Drosophila melanogaster: one gene and its partner. The protein of the gene in region 1 interacts with the protein of each later gene in a pairwise test. Each region holds a gene or a part of one and is shown on either strand. Other genes may lie near its edges.

The links. Proteins that work in one complex are often made in the same cells at the same time.
Region 2: the proteins of Pex23 (region 1) and CG42336 interact in a two-hybrid assay, tested with the Drosophila melanogaster proteins (one large-scale study listed by BioGRID).

Annotation. Positions count from the first base shown.
Region 1 is NT_037436.4:20,296,603-20,303,851, reverse strand, and holds Pex23 (peroxin 23), read left to right. Parts: upstream 1-1,710; 5' UTR 1,711-1,830; coding exon 1,831-2,895; exon of another isoform or gene 2,896-2,951; coding exon 2,952-4,354; intron 4,355-4,376; exon of another isoform or gene 4,377-4,442; intron 4,443-4,623; coding exon 4,624-4,887; intron 4,888-4,948; coding exon 4,949-5,648; intron 5,649-5,706; coding exon 5,707-6,288; intron 6,289-6,353; coding exon 6,354-6,392; 3' UTR 6,393-6,723; downstream 6,724-7,249. Other genes in the region: SCCRO4 (squamous cell carcinoma-related oncogene 4), read right to left, coding at 507-619; FRG1 (FSHD region gene 1), read left to right, coding at 6,952-7,010, 7,063-7,245. UniProt on the Drosophila melanogaster protein: Involved in peroxisome biogenesis.
Region 2 is NT_033778.4:11,294,021-11,297,131, reverse strand, and holds CG42336 (uncharacterized protein), read left to right. Parts: upstream 1-1,889; 5' UTR 1,890-1,961; coding exon 1,962-2,450; 3' UTR 2,451-2,596; downstream 2,597-3,111. Other genes in the region: CG18336 (uncharacterized protein), read left to right, coding at 2,867-2,882, 2,944-3,111.

The DNA.
Region 1 (7,249 bases):
TAATATCTATATTCAGCTAAAAAAAACTTTTTTTTTTTAATATCGGCAGAGACTAATAATTTTTGCCTTTGAATGCCTTTCGATTTTGCCACAGATTTTGATTAATGTTGAGATAACATAATAATAATTATAACTTGGATAAGAACATTATTGGATACAACACAAGACGGGTGAATAATAGGATGATTATTGTGAATCTATGAATAGAGCAAGTGAATCAATTTTCATTTTACAGAAATGCCAGTATTTGTTTTTTTTTTATGAAAAGTATATAAACCATGAAACCAAATCGTCGCGAAGATGTGAATATGAAAATGATAACGTATTAATTAATAAAATAACAAATTCTTCAGTGCCAGGTGTGGGTAAATCTGGCCGTTCCATTGAAATATATCAGGCATCAATGGCTTAGGAATCTCTACACCGGAAACCAGATGCTTTTCCCCGGAACAGATGATACAACACCAAAGGGCCTTTGTTCTTGTTTCCTATTTTCCACCACTCACCTGCTGCTCTGTTGTGTGGGTATGCTGGTGTAGCTGGTTCGGGCCCTCTTCGGTTGACCATGATCCATGTTGTCGCTAATAGTATCTGCAGCTCGGCGTTTTCCCCGTGGCATGACTTATTGTGATGTGTTTTCCAGAGTCAGTCCGTTCCGTCCGTCGGATTTGAGTTTTGCTGTGAATAGCACACTTAGTTCATTCGCTATTAGCGAAAATGTTTGAATTGCACTTACCGCAATGTTTCCCAATATGACCAGTTTACTTTAGCTCCGAAGTAGTTATCTGTGGGGTATGAAAGAATCCGGTTAAAATGGAGCCTCAATCACTTGGTGGTATGATATTTTTAGGGGAGTTTTTCGGGCAGACCGACCACCCCCGATACGCGGATGCAGCGAAGAGGTTTCACGGGATGCACAGGACATCGCGGTATACATATAGTGGCTATAGTATATATATGGTCGATATATGTGTGTCTACCAGATGAACGTTTGTACTCTGTAGGCGTGCGTACATATGTTTTACTACACCAGAGCACGAAATACCGGCTGCTGGAAGGGCCTCGGTCTCGACTCGGTTCGCAATACCGGGACTACGGACCGGGGAGCACGGCCATTACGGGGGATTGGTCCGTGGTCGGCCTCCGGGAGCCACAGCCAGCAGCTGATACGACCGACCGACCGTCTGGCCTGCGCGTGCTCGCTTTTCTGCGTCGAACGTCGCAACGCCGAGGGGCTCAGTTTACGGCTTTCCTTTTTAACTGCGACCGGTAAATGGATCTTAAACTGGGTGCGCTCGGTTAAAGGGATCCGCCCGTGCAGTTAGGGGAAAGAACGGTTCAATTTTTACCATATTTTTCAAAATCAATCAAAATTTCTTGGCGTCAATTAGAGCTGGGTTGGCCACTCGCGATAGTATCGATACATTTAACACTGATGGGGGCAAGGACTATCGGTGTCTTGGATTTGATAGACCCTGGTTTGCGAAATTTAACGGCACTATAGAATTAACAGGGCTGTCGCATTTCCTTGGAATTACTTATTACACATTCTTGTTAACACATAATTTTCTGACATGCTTTATTTTAAACGGGCTTCGAAATAAACAACAATTTTAAGATATAAAAATAAAATATTAAACATTTGCATTTTGGCTGTTTTTAGTGGAAACACAACAACCACAACGATACTATCGCTTAGGACTCGGAAAACAGGTGTGCCATCACTGACTGTCTAGGTCTATTCTTCAGAAAAATCAATTTTTCCAATTTGATTGTAAACACGATGCCAGACAGAAAGAGGCCCCTTGGTCTTTAGTAATAGATCTCAGGATGCCGAGCTTCTACCTATTCGCCGCCAGCAGTGAAGGGCGCGTCTACACGCTGTCCACCAACTCCGGAGCGTGGCGCGAACTTCCCTATCTGGGATTGGAGTTCAAGAAGATCTGCGCTGTGCCCAACTTTTTGTGGGCCATTGGCGGCGACCGCCAGGTGTACGTTCATGTGCACGGTCTGGACGTGCCCATTCGGATTCGGGAGGAGTCGTACGAGAACGAGCGCTGGCTGCCCATCGAAGGATTTTCGAAGACGCTGCTGCCCACTGATCGGTACAGATATTCCTCCGCCGATGGCAGTGTGGAGCGTGGTGTGGACAAAATCCGACTGCCCTCGATGGCGTGGCAATGGGACGGCGACTGGCACCTGGACTTAGAGCTCGATGGACAGCCGCTGACCGAGGATGGCTGGATGTACGCCCTGGACTTTCCGGCCACGTACTCGGCAAAGAAGTCTTGGAACTCGTATGTGCGACGACGCAAGTGGGTGAGATATAGGAGGTATGCAGCCTTGAATAGCTGGTGCGCGGTGGCACCACTACACAAGGATCCCACGCAGGAGCCCTTCATAGACGTGGCTATAGGCGGCACTTGTGTTCCCAACGCTCCTGCCGGCACTTTGTGTGTCTGGGCCATTACCGCCCATGGCAGGGCTATGTTTCGCACGGGGGTGTCCAAAACGGCGCCCGAGGGTCTTCGCTGGACAGCTGTACCCACGCCCACGGGCAGTGAACTCGCGCAGATCAGCGTGGGACCCACAGGATTGGTATGGGCGGTACTCCATAACGGCCGAGTTATCGTACGTACTGGTGTAACCAGAGACAACCTAGTCGGTGACTCGTGGTTGGATGTCAAAACCCCCGTGGCCGCCAGTAGCTTGCGCATTGTTCACGTTTCCGTGGGCACCGATGCTGTGTGGTGTGTAACCAATGATCATCACGCCTGGTTCAGGAGAGGCGTCAAGGGTGAAGCAGCGGGCATAAGCGAGGATTCGGCCATTGGCAAGGGCTGGGTGGAAATGGTGGGAAACATTTCAATGGTCTCTGTGGCGGCCAACGATCAGGTAAACCAGTGTTAGATCTACCCAATTATCTTAGATATGAACATACTCTTTCGCAGGTCTTTGCCATTGGAGCCGCTGACCGTTGTTTGTACCACCGCTCTGGGGTGACCTCTGCCGACCCTACTGGCAAAAAATGGCGTTTAATTCAATGTCCCATGCAAATCAGCCGCACTTCTAGCTCTCTATCCATAGTCTCTCGTAAAAGCGGCGGAAGTAGTTCAACGCCAGGCTCAAAGCACCAGAGCTTCTCCAATTTGTACTCCAAGGAGAAGGAGAAGGGTGTGGTAGAGACGTGTGCAGTTATAGAAACTGTGCTCAACAGCTCTACGGGCTCCTGCTCTAGTAATGGCGGTCCACCTGGTCTTCTTAAGAACGAACGTTGGAAACTCAGTGCCGATTCACCTCCGACAATTGGAAGTCTGAATCTCAACGATCGCCACAAGCAGAGAACGGCGGCGCTTCGCGAAACTTCACATGCTTCCAGTGCTCCCGCAGCGGATGTGGTGGAGGTGGTAACTGGCAAGTTTGAGACCCAGCTGAGGAATCCAAGAGCTTGGTCTCCCGTCCGAAGTGTTGGGTCCGTCGTGGGCACTGAAGCGCATCCAGAGAGCGATTCGACCGTGTTTGAGTCGGACTCCACGCACCATGGATCGGATGTGTTTCTGGGAGAAGATGACGACCATACGGGATCACAATTTTGGACAGAATGCGGGATACTATGGAGCTGCGTAGCTTCAGGTGCTGTGACTGTGGATGCCAGCAACATGCCCAATTGGTTTAACGAGCAGACGAGCGACAGTAAAGTGGACGTGAATGCCAATTGGCGAAAGGATATTGTGAACAAGTTGCAGCGACGTCAGGAGAAACTGGCCAAGCTTCAGACTGTGGCCAAGTTCGAGAAGGCAGTGGAGCTTTCTTCGTGGGTCAAATCGGCGGATGCGCGCTATCAGCGACCTGGAGGCGAGTTTGAGGATTGTATCATCGAACTTGAGTGGGTAAGCAGTGGCAGTGGCACTGACACAAATAGTAGTGAAAACTCGCGATCCGGGGACTCTGGAACTTTTACGGTACTTAGTCCGGATGGAGCCGCCACGAAGATTCAGTTCCCGTTGTCAGACATCACCTGTGTTCAGTGCTGCAGTGAAGCCGGAGCACCGCGGATCGCTATTCATGCTCCTCATCTTCCCGTAAACTGTTCGCCCGTTAAGCTACAGTTCTCCAGTGACTCGGAAATGGAGGACTGGTTGTCCCACCTGTCGTCAGTCTGTAGCCAGATCAACACTATGGTGGGAAAACCGGCTGGCAATGCGATCTGGATAACCAGCGAGTTGGGCGATGTCTTTGTGTTTGATCCCGCCAACATGAAGGCACATCAGACAAGTGAACCCAGCGAGGGATACGTGGAGAAGATGGATGTTTCCACTTGCGAAACTCCATACTACAATACTCTTTACAATGGGTAAGTGGGCTTAAAAACTTACCTGTCGGTCGAAGATTCTATTAAAATTTATGTGGTAGGATTGTTTTGTGAAGTATGTAGGTATTATATTGTTTAAACTGCTATGATAGAAAAATATTTTTGAGTGATGGATAAATCTAGCGCTGGAGTTTTGTTGAATTCAAATTGTTCAATTTATCCAAGCAGGCAATTTACCAGAAGCTTCGTATTCCATTTAATTCTAAAAGCTTAATTTTTTAATAATTACCTCCTGTATATGTTAATTTCAGAATGCCATGTGGTACTGAGCTAGAGATATCTGGCTGTGTGTACGATGACGCTGATCAGATTCGTTTCGACTTGCAGTCGCATTCTGCAGTAAAAGTTCAGCCTCATCGCGTGGAGAAGCATCGGGTCATTGCTCTGCACCTGAATCCCCGTTTCAACGAACGCACCACGGTGCTCAACTCGATGAAGGAGTCCGAATGGCTGGACGAGATTCGCAATGACAAAATGGCCTTTGCTCCCGGAGCAACTTTTTCGTTGAAAATAAGGTAGGAATAGAATCCTGGGAATGAAATCGAATGCCTAATACATACTTGAATATCCTTACAGGGCTCTGCAAGATCACTACTTGATCATCGTGAACAATGCCGTATATACCGACTACAAGTACCGCATCGATCCGGAAAGCGTGACGCGGCTTTATGTGAGTGGCCGTATTAAGCTTTTCAATGTACTCTACCGCTGCCCCTCCCTAATTGTCTCAATGGAGCGCATGCACTGGCGCCAAATGGGCGGTCACATTAAGAGGATTTTCAACAGCGGCGTGGATGTGGTGTGGGGCATATCCTGTGACAACACTGGCTGGGTTTACAACGGAGGCTGGGGAGGAATGTTCCTAAAGGGCTTGGAGGGGTCCGGCAAAATTAACCCAATGATTGACACACACACCTACTATGTGTACGAAAATCAACGTTGGAATCCAATCAGTGGTTTCACGGCGAAGAGCCTGCCGACGGATCGGCACATGTGGAGCGATGCTACTGGGCGGCAGAAGCGGAGCAAGGAGCACACCAAGCTGCTGTCTACGCACTGCGAATGGATCTCCGATTGGGCCATTGACTACAACATTCCTGGGGGCGCGGACAAGGAGGGCTGGCAATACGCCATCGACTTCCCCGCCAACTACCATGCTCACAAAAAACTCACAGATTGCGTGCGTCGACGAAGATGGATGAAGCGATGTCGTCTTAGCAGCAGCGGACCATGGCAGGAGCTTAGTCAGTCCAAAATCCTTGATGCTGCCCTGCAGGTATGGTTCTACTTAAAAAATTCTCAACATGGTTGTTTTTTAAACATTTTCCTACTAGGTATTGGATGAAGATGTGGATCACAGCTGTTCGGGTGAGAGAAACACAGCAGTGGCTGCCTGGGCGATTGCCTCCAATGGTGATGTCCTCATCCGGCATGGTGTATGCAGCTTAAACCCTCGTGGCGATGCCTGGGAGCACATAACCAGCGACCAGCCGTTAGTTGGGATCAGCGTGGGGCCCACAGGTCAGGTGTGGACTGTGGCGCGCAACGGCATGGTGTTCTTCCGGTATGGCATCAGCAGGCAGAATCCGTGCGGCGATGCCTGGCAACAAGTGGAGGCACCCGCGGGTGTGACCTTTAAAGCGATAAGCGTGGGTCGGGCTGGGATTTGGGCGCTGGACAACCAGCAACGTTTGGCTGTGCGTAAGGAGATTTCGAGGACTTTCCCTGAGGGCTCCCACTGGCAGTTTCTGCCCAATGCCGCCAATGTGCCACCGCACACGGATCAGCATTGTGGCTTCCGCTCGGTGTCCGTGGGCTCCGAGGTGTGGGCCATCTCCCTCAATGGTATCATTTGCAGGCGCTGCGGAATTACAGAGGAAAATCCTGCAGGCGTAGGATGGAACCTTGGCATTGCGGTATGCAATCTAAACATTGGGTTGGTTGAATTTATAATTAAAAAAAAATACCCTCTCCATTTCAGGGCCAATGGCAAAATGTCTCTGTCGAAGGATATATGTGATGGAGTTGAATACTTTATTTGTGCATTCCTATTTACTTACGGACGATCCTGTTTGTTGTATTTATTCATATTTACAAGCTTATATGTGACCATGCCAACGCTTTTTCCAAAGTATATGAAAATAAGATGTTTCCTATTTAAGCTATTTGAAACGTATTATTTACACATATTTATTTATAATTTATAATAATAATTTATAAAAGTATGTATCTAAGTCAAATGTTTAGTTTAAGTCTTTTGTTTAGTTTAACAAATCCAGCAGCCGTGATTGTATTTCCTTTTTGTAAGCAAATATATAATGAATTACGAGAATAAATATATGTATGTGATGAAAGATGAAATATGTCTTATCTCTCACAGATCAAAAATCATTTGATTTTAATTTTTTTACCAAGTTAATGAATGGTTTGAGTCCGTACTTTTTAAAATGTACGCTTACAGTATTTTATTGGTAAGATATCGATAGCCGATAGACCAGCTCATCTGCGATGTTGTATCGCATGTTTGTTTATTGTGTTGTAAACCAAAACTATATCAACAATTTACCTATTTTGTGACGATGTCAGACTACGATCATGCACGCATTAAGAAATTGGTTCTAAAAGGCGAGAAACTCAAGTATGTAACTACAAATCTGCCAATAGCATCAATTGAAATTCTCGATTTGTAGAAAGAGCAAAAAACGCAAGAAGGAAAAGGATGAGGCTGGATCTTCCAAAAAGGCCAAGGTAGTAGTGGATGAGGATGCCGTGAAGCACGGCGGTTGGTGGGCAGCAAAGACAGCGGCCGACATCACCGGTACAGTGTCCATAGAGTTTGGCGATAGGAGTTACCTAAAGGCCATGGACAATGGGTAA
Region 2 (3,111 bases), on another chromosome or scaffold:
AAGACTTTCACCAAGCGAGCAACTTAGTCAAGTGCTTGCTGGCCGTTTGATATGCACAGCTGTTGGATGTTTGGTTTTTCGTTCTTATCTGTTTTGATTTGAGATACCCTCGATTCGGATTGCCTTTGCGATCTTTTGTCTTACGTGTTCCATCTGGCCAGTCCGTCTCATTCCGGTTTTCTTGCGTACGTAGTCAAAAGTTTGTGGTTCTCAAGAGCGATAATGGCCCTCTGATAAGGAGTCGACCTGCCACCGTTCAATAGACTCTGTCGTACAGTCAAACCTCCGCCGCAAAACGTACCTTTTTGAAATCTTCGAATTTCCAGCATCTCTATTTTGAACATTGCTAGCGTATTTTTGCAGAGATCTTCAAGCAAAACATATTGGTTCCAAAAGTAACTTAATTAAAAAAGCCATTTCTAAATGAGCGTTGTATATGTTTTATAGGTAGAAAGATTAGAAGTGTTATCTTGATATAACATTTATATTAGCTGAAACATTGAATTCCAATTCTAGTGCTTGATATTGCAGAAATTAATAAAAGATCTATAAAATCAGTTCGCGATGTTCGTCTTGAACAATTCAAACTGTAGACGTTTATATGGTGGCCATCTTGTAACATTGTAGCCATCTATCGCTCGCGAATGGGACGGCACTCTTTACTGGGGTTTTGTCTTTATGTACTCGTGTGTCCGGCACTGATTAGTGGCTCTCCCTTATCGCATATGCACACATATGCTCTCCGCAATGCCAACTTCTTGCGATCACCTTTGAAAATATGCTGACGAAGGCAGGAGGCAAAACGAAAAGCGCAGCGAAAAGTTAACTAGTGGGCATATCTGGGAATAATGAAATACAAGCGACTGATTACACACGAGTGGCGGCTTATAATTATATTGATTTTAATATAAGTTTTAGAGAGACTCATTCAGTCCTCCCAAACAGCAGAAGCCGGAGCACGTAAGCACCGGCGATCTAGCGCCAAAATTAGTTAATATTGGAAAGTGTGCGATTTGGGGGGGATTAAATATCGTAGTTTATGTGATTTGTACAATCGTTATTATCTCTGCATGCCGCGTGTCAAACTTGTGTTATAGATAATCAAAATCCATTTTCGAATTCGATTCGTTTGTTTTGCCACGTTGTTTGTTTCTGTGATTTTGTTTGCCCCCCCAATAGCATGCTGAAATGCAGAAAGTAGAACCATAAACCGAATACCATGATTTCCTATATACCATCCATTCAGACGCGAACCGCTAAAAGCCAAAGAGCCCACAGAACCCAGCCCGTAAATTAAAGCCCCAAACAGAGATTAGATCATGGCTGAGGATCCGGTGAACCAGCAGGCATTCGCTGAGGACGTGGCAGCTGCCGCTGCGGCTGGAGGAGCCGGCGGTTTTGCCGGTCCCGAGCCCGGACATCCCGACTTTAAGATGCCCAGTGCCGAGGAGATCTGGAAGCTGGTCGAGGGCATGGAGGGAATTTCGGACGACGAGCGAGCCGAGCTCCGCGAGAGCATCTTTAACCCGAAGCCGCCGTCGCCGGAGGACTTCATGCGCCAGTACGGGCATCCGGGCCACAGTTCCCGGGAGTACCTGGTGTTCTTCGTGATGCTGGCCCTCATACTCATTGTCTTTGGTAAGCGTCCTCCGGAACGAGCCACTAACGAGTCGTATAACCCTTATCGGGCGCGATATACGCACCCACCTGGGTTTCTGCTTAAAGGGCGATAAGGTTTTAGGAGGCGGCTATGTCGAAGCACTCACTCACTCGCTCACGAGCCACAGCTAGAATGTTTGCTTCGTTTAAAAGCGTTCGATTTTTGATAAGATAACCAGTGGTAAGCGTAGGATCCACCGCAGACATAGGTAGAGTGGAATCCAAAGAGCAGTATTTGCCAGAGACCCATGCCGGGCTGTAGTTGACACACCACTTAGCCCCTTTTCCGAACAACCCAAAACATGAGTTGGTCGGGTTCCAGTGACGAGCTCGGGGTTATTGAGCAGCTGAAAAAGTCCGTGGAGTCGATCGTGGCCAAAACTGGGCCCAGCAGCAAGTTCTCCAAGGATCTCGTCCAGCGGATCGGCGAGATGCAGAGCAAGCTGGAGTCCCTGGCCGAAACGGATCGGCATGTGTTTCTCGCCGAGATGAAGGACAAGTTCCAGCAGACGATTGGCAGAATCGAGGAGCGAATAGTGCAGCACGCCCATTTCGCACAGACCTACTCCAGTTCCATAGTGTCGGCAGTGATCTTTCTCTTGGTCTCCATATTCGGTCTCAGTTCCCTTGATCGCATAATGTATCAACGTCACCTTACTAACCGTCTCCCTTCTTTCCGCATTACAGCTCTCTTTGGCTACAAGCTGTACAAATCCCTGACGGAAAAGGAGCTCAAGAAGCAGGAGAAACTGAAGAGCAAGCAACAGAAGAAGGCCAAGAAGTCAAACTGAAGGAGATGGAGGCGAGGATATCATTGACGTAGTGCACTTTCCGGCCCTGAGACCTTCCATCTTGTTAATCAATACAATCGCCCTGTAAATGACTAAATCATAAACCAGTAAACGTAATAAAATAAAACGTACCCCATAACTCTTTTAAATGCCACGGTAATTGTGTTGTTACGACGAGTCGAATTAATTGCCATTAAAATACGGCATCAGGAAATGCAAATCGGTGTCGTGACCTAACTTGTTGCTGCCATCTAGGCAATCCGTCCAATCCTGGCCTCCGTTGTCATGGGAAACGGGGTCGTTTTGTCGAAGCTTCTCCTGTCAGGCCAGCTATTAATAGTTAAATTCAGTTTCCAGTTACCCAGTTAAGCAGCAACACTCGGAAAGGATCAACAATTTTTGCGGAAATAAAAAACATGTCCTATTCCAGCCGTAAGTTAAAAGCTCAACCATGACTTATCTATTAATCTAATGTGTCAACATGCCCTTCTAGGATTTGGTTTCGACTTCCATCTGCCGGATGAGGGATGGTGCTACCCGAAGAACGACATGCATTTCATCCGCAGCGCGGAATGGGTGCCCGTGGAGAAGGCAGGCGTGGGCCGCTCATTCGCCAATCCCAATGGCGTGATCTATCCGCGGGTGGTAGGCATGATTCCAC